Danio rerio: one gene and its partner. The protein of the gene in region 1 purifies or fractionates together with the protein of each later gene. This does not show direct contact. Links are inferred from orthologs where the notes say so. Each region holds a gene or a part of one and is shown in the gene's direction. Other genes may lie near its edges. The genes, in order: ocrl and snx9b.

Evidence for each region.
Region 2: the proteins of ocrl (region 1) and snx9b purify together in Homo sapiens (co-immunoprecipitation; 3 studies listed by BioGRID and IntAct, with this or other methods). This does not show direct contact. The link is inferred for Danio rerio from reciprocal best matches to the Homo sapiens genes OCRL and SNX9.

Annotation. Positions count from the first base shown.
Region 1 is NC_133189.1:38,413,685-38,417,523, reverse strand, and holds part of ocrl (inositol polyphosphate 5-phosphatase OCRL), read left to right. Parts: intron 1-555; coding exon 556-665; intron 666-2,465; coding exon 2,466-2,601; intron 2,602-2,676; coding exon 2,677-2,787; intron 2,788-3,839. UniProt on the Homo sapiens protein: Catalyzes the hydrolysis of the 5-position phosphate of phosphatidylinositol 4,5-bisphosphate (PtdIns(4,5)P2) and phosphatidylinositol-3,4,5-bisphosphate (PtdIns(3,4,5)P3), with the greatest catalytic activity towards PtdIns(4,5)P2.
Region 2 is NC_133195.1:46,320,304-46,322,917, reverse strand, and holds the end of snx9b (sorting nexin-9b), read left to right. Parts: intron 1-1,045; coding exon 1,046-1,137; intron 1,138-1,261; coding exon 1,262-1,309; 3' UTR 1,310-2,085; downstream 2,086-2,614. UniProt on the Homo sapiens protein: Involved in endocytosis and intracellular vesicle trafficking, both during interphase and at the end of mitosis. Required for efficient progress through mitosis and cytokinesis. Required for normal formation of the cleavage furrow at the end of mitosis.

The DNA of each region.
Region 1 (3,839 bases):
ATCTGCTTTTTAAGTAGTTGGAGCGTTATAACTACACGCGGTCTCCTCCCTTGCCATAGCAAGGTACCGCCATATAACGTATATGTGATAAATGATGTCAGTGCAGAATAACCGGTTACGATTATTACTGAACCGATACCGAATTGTTTGCGTCTGCATCGTGGTGCATTGAAAAAAAAACAACAATTAATTATGACACCCCTATTAAATGGTGAGGAATTATCCCTTTCAGTGATAGCCATATATAGACTGACTTCTATTTTTGTTAAAAGCACATTTAATAGAATCTTTGACTTTCTTTTTTTTTTATTGTCCACAAGTTGATATTTATCTTTGGCTTCACCACATAATTGCATCAGCATTCACATCACATAGATCACAAAAAGCACAAATACTTTCAACATCATTTTATAAATCACATTTAAAACTCAATTAACACTATTTATACTATTTAACCCAGTATTAAAATTCTAATGGCAGTTGGCACACATTTCTTTACTTGAGGTTGCCTAAAGCTTCTTTTTGATGGCAAAATCTTTGTCTTCGTATTGGCAGCTGAACCTCCAGAGAAAGACTAAACGTGTCTTCACCGATTTCATGGAAGGGGAGATCAATTTCATCCCAACTTACAAATATGACGCTAAATCAGATCGGTGGGACTCAAGGTAAAGTTCCTGAGACTGAACACTGTTTAATGATCACTTCATGGTAGAAAGCTCTTAAAATGAAGTAAATGATGCAAAACTTGCAAAGAAGCCCTCATTTTAAACAATGGTTGCAAGAACTCTTTCATTGTTACGTATATAGTCAGGGAAAAACCGGAAAAGTTTTTCAAAATATGGAATCCCTTTGTAGGATTTCTGAAAGAAGCTGATACAAATCTTTTCTCTGTATAACTTGTATCTTGTATCATCTGCTATTGATGTACTGTTATTCTATTTTGTACCTTTTATATTGTTAGTATATGTTCATGCTTTTATTAACGTATATAATTGTATTTTTTTGTTATTATTATTTATTTTACATTTCTTGTATGTTTGGTTTTGATTTCTTTAGAACATATCAGAAGTTCGAAAAGCATTAAAGAGCCCCTTTTATGCATTAAAAAAACATTGTATTTTGGTGTTGGGGGTCTCCAACAACAGGCTGATATGCATGCAAAGTCAAAAAACATTTTAGTTGTCCTATAATATGCATTTATTTTTACCTAACATACTAACGACTCCCATATGATTCATTCTCTAATTCATTTGTTGCCAAACCCCTCCTTGATTAGCACGATGCTAATCTTCGCTGATTGGTCAGATGACCCAGTCTATTGCGATTAGTCGACTCCGTTCGGCTTGAGACAGAGGGAAATGCCCAGCACAGCTTATAAACAAGTAGTCAGAGTGCAGAGTGTATGTGTGAGCCCAATGTAGGAGTGCATTAAAGCAATTGAGTTAAACACCAGCATATTGCTCTATTCTTAACCACAACACGCATTCAGTATTAATCCACAAAGTGGCAAAAGCTGAAATATTTTGAACTTGGCAGCACACGTGTGTAGGAACAGCTGATGGTGGCCATAGCAACGACAAATGGAAGTAGATTGCGAGCTCACAAACAAGTTTTAATCCATAAACATAACGGCACACGTCACAATTTCAACATGGTTTTAGATGCAATATGAGAATATAAAGTGTTAACCAGACACAGTACAAGCGGTTACAAGTAACAAAACACAATTAAATGCATAATTTGCAAGCTAGAGAAAGCAAGGAGGCAGCAGTTTTAATACTAGTTACTTACACTTGTAAAATGGAGGAAGAAACTGAACCATGAACTGTGTATTGTAAAGTTTCTGTCAGGCTCCGACAAAGATCCATACATCAGTAGTCATTTCTGGTCCTTCCTTTAACAAACGGCCTATAAATCCCCCGTTGTAAACATGCAGATTACTGAAGCACTCGTCTGAAAAATGAGAGGAACACAGCACAAGGCTGGGGCTATAATGCTAAGGTATTTTTTCTTCACAACCTCATCTTTGGGTAGAGAAAGTAACGAAAAATTTCCCTCACACTTCAGAGAACAGCTTCTTCGTGGCATGATTCAACCGGGATCTGCTATATTGTATAGTGTATATAGCTATAGTCCTCAGTTTATTTCTACAATGTTTGTGGATGGGGCCAGGGATTTCAACTTCCCCAGGTCTGCTCGTGCAACAAATGGGCGGGGCTTGAGTTCCATATCGATGTCACGCGGACACGGCTAAAGACTCATTCGAACCACTATGAGTCGACTCTATAATAGATGAATCGATTTTTTTAAACAAAGTGCACTTTTAGATTTAAGCTTCAGCTGGATATTTCTGTTCACTGCTGAGTTACACACTGCATGGAAGGTCGTTTTCAAAAACCCATAATAGGGGCTCTTTAAAGACAGTGTTTAAAAAAAAAAATTAAATGAATGTGGTGTATTTACAGTGGGAAGTGTCGGATTCCTGCTTGGTGCGACCGTATCCTATGGAGGGGAAGCAACGTGAAGCAGCTTCACTACCGCAGTCACATGGAGCTGAAGACCAGTGACCACAAACCTGTCAGCTCTGTCTTTAGTATCGGGGTGAGGTTTACTCCTTTCATCATCCTCCAATAATAGCATCGAGAGCGTCACATTGAATTTATGTGTGTGCTGCAGGTGAAGATGGTGATTGAGCAACGCTACAAAAAGATTTTCGAAGAGATTGTGCGGGACATGGACAGGATGGAAAATGACTTTCTGCCCTCTTTGTCCCTAACCCGACGGGAGGTGAGTAATGACAGAGAGCCAGACAGGGCAGTCTATCCTCAGACAAACTCACTCTGCATCGATCCACTGGCCTGCCTCCATTCTTTCTGAGGTCCCACTATATATTAGAGGAGGATCAATAATGTTTGCAGCATTTTAGCATTTCGCTGAACTGTGAGTGTGTTATGGGCTAATCATGTGTGCCATAATTGCTTTCAGAGTGGATGCATTAGGACAGTTTGCTTACAAATGGAAAAGATGGTTCAAATAAACTCATCACTTGGACTCTATAAGTTGGAGGATTTGAATGCAGAAATGAACACTTTGGCAGAGATGTATTCAATTGATCAAAAGTGACAGTATAGACATTTATAATGTAAAAAATTGACTGAATTTTAAGCTTTCTGTTCATAAAAGAGTTATTATTAACAATTTACATAGACTATTAAAGGGACAGTTCACCCAAAAATGAAAAATAACTCACTATTTATCAAGTATTTTTAAGTGAGTTTTGTTATTCTGTTGAACACAAATGAATACTTTGGAAGAATTCTGAAATCCTGTAACCATTGGCTTCATTTGCAGGAAACAAATGCTATGTATATTAAGGGTTACAGGTTTCCAACAATTTTTAAAGTATCTTTTTTTGTGTGTTCAACAGAAAAAAGAAACCCATAAAGGTTTGAAAATCAAAAGATGAATAAATTAGGACAATTTGCGTTTTTGTGTTATTAATTATATCTTAAATCCACATTATTCACTTCCAAAAGAAGACTATGTACGGTGCAGTGAAGTTTTGGATACTAAAAATATTTATGTGAAATGGCGAAAAAAAGAGTTTTGATATGCTTTTAAACACAAAAGTAGACATTTTGAAGAATGCTGGAAACCTGTAACCATTATACTTCATTAGGAAAACCAAATGCTATGTAAATGAATCGTTACAGGTTTACAACATTTTTCAAAGTATCTTTTTTGTGTTCAACAGAAGAAAGAAACTCATAAAGGTTTGAAAATCAAAGGGTGAGTAAATGACAATTAAATTTTTGTGTAAATAATTACGTTTTAAATCC
Region 2 (2,614 bases), on another chromosome or scaffold:
TCTTAAAATTGAATAAGTCGACATTTTTCTGTTTAAGTATAATTTCTTATACGTATTATACTCACAAAAACACGCACAGTATAAAGATGTTAATTTAACGTTACTATTGAAGGGGCTGATCACACTGAACGCTCTTTCAGTTCTGGCAGTAATGCATGACAAGAAAAAAATAAGGTTGGCAACAACTGAATCAGCTGCGTATTGTGCACGAATGTTGCTGTATTGGTGTAATTTTAATATTTAAGAATAATGTAATATTCAAGATTTGTGAAGTCATGCAGCACCGGATAACTCAAAACAGCAACCATATGACTCTCCTTCAACTTTAAAAGACTCCGTAGTCATCTTGACAGCACAAGCACTGCAGGCACCTCAACGGAAACCCTGCTTCTGCTTTCAGTTGATTGGACAATGAAAAAGACGTGAGTGACGCAGCAACCTTTTTTCCACTCTCAACCGTGAGCGCACAGCGCGCAACGGCAAAACGCGAGGCGCAGCAAGCGGTTAAAAAACTACTTGTAAACCATTAGTACACCATGCGCCAGTGATTGAGTATCATGGGTAAAGTTCTTACTGTAGTATTTCTCACAAACGCTACGTGAAATCTGCTTCCTTTATGTCTGTTTGTTGTCTGACGCAGCCGAGGGAGGAGATTAAAGCACGCAGAAAGGTGTGAAACTGTGGGCGGGGAAGACTAGCCTTAAAGGCGCAGAACAGCAAAACCGCCACCCACTGCAAAAATGTATAAAACAGAATCTTATTAAAGGTATAATAGAAAATGTGGTGGATGTTTTGAGCTGAATCTTTACAGACACATTCTGGAGACACTAATGATTCATAAAAAATCTGAAAAAGGTGCCCTTTAACATGTAAATCACTCACATTTGACCCTTCATCCAAGTCTTCTGTAGACGCAGCATAAGTGGAGAATGCAACAACAACAATACATGTGTTGCGCATCTGTAGTGATGCTTAAAGTGAGTTCGCCTTTAAACACAGAGCTGTAAACTGTATAATGAATCTGATCAATCTGTCATCTCTGCAGCCGAAATGAACCACTTCCACAACAATCGCATCTATGACTACAACAGAGTGATGCAGCAGTATCTGGAGCAGCAAGTCAAATTCTACGAGATGGTAATGTTTCTCAAATACTTATTTTATTAAGTGAGGATGCATCAATAGGAAGGCTCAACAAAACCGTTGATTCCTGATTGAAAGCCGTATTCACAAATGTGCAATCACTTATTTGTTTTGGCAGATTGCAGAGAAGCTGCGGCAAGCTCACAGTCAGTTCACTACTATGTAATGCTGAATCGTCCGCCCAGAAGCTGCCTCATTTCTCTCTTCCTCTTACATGATTATTCACTCTTTCTATTCCTGTTATCTGTGTCATGATGTCAGTGCCATACAAATGCCAGGCCAAAGATAATCCAGCGCCCTGTGTGCAGACTGGCCCACCTCCGGTGTTTTAAAAACAAAAAGCAGCTACAGATTGTCTAAAAACAAGAAATAAATCTGATTATAAGAGGGCTATAATTATTCTAATCCTCAAGGTGTTGATTTCGATGATCCACATCTGTTATTAAGACCCTCACTGATGTAGAACTTTTATATAATGATCTAAACGTATAGCGGATTGTTTGAACTCATTGGCCAACCGAGTTTCATCGTGCCTTCTTTTGTGTAGAGCCGGCAAAACAACAACATGCTTTTTTTTTATCCTGTGCACTTTACTGTGGCCTTTCAGATGCATCATTCTGTTTGTGTTTGGCAACCGCAGTGTCCTTCATCAGAGGATTTTGCGGATGAAACAGGAGGGCTGGTCCTTTTTCCCCACAGAAGAGACATTCAGATGTTATTTTTCTCGCTCCCCAAAGCCAGATTACAGACATGCTTCCACCTCAGTGCAATTATCAGCAATTTCCTATCCTGTAAAAGTGAATTATACGTATAGATGCATGTTTTCCAGTTGTTCGTATATATATTTTTTATGTAAAGCAGTGTTTGCAAGTCTTTTGCACACAGAATGACAAATAAGATTGAGATTATGATTTAATAAATACTGATTTGTATACCATGCAATGCTTTTGTGTTCAATGAATGAGTGAATGTTTGTTCGCGTGCTTTTTATGGTTTAAATGGAAAGTTTGTGGATGGCATTTTAGGAAATGAGCAAACAATAATAGAAGGTTTTTTTTTTTTTCTAGAAACAGGATTTATATTTGGAGAATTAGTTTGTGTGAAGATTAGAATCCACAGATTTTTAGCCTATCAATGAGTCTTTATTTACTGGTGTAAATGTTTATTTGCTCAGTTTTTAAATTAATTTCAGTCATATTTCCTGAAAATGTTTGGTAACATTTTAGTCGCAACTCATACTATTAACTACTGGCTTATCACCTGCCTGTTATTAAGATATTAACTGTTCAATAGCAGTTATAAAGTATCATTTAATTCTACATCCCTAATCCTACCCAAAACCTAAACCCAACTTCTACCTTACTTCACTCTGTCCGAATGAACATGTTTGTAGCTTTGTATCACATTGGATAACAACTCACACTATAAAATAAATCAGATTTTCAGATTTGTTGACATGCAGAAAATTACA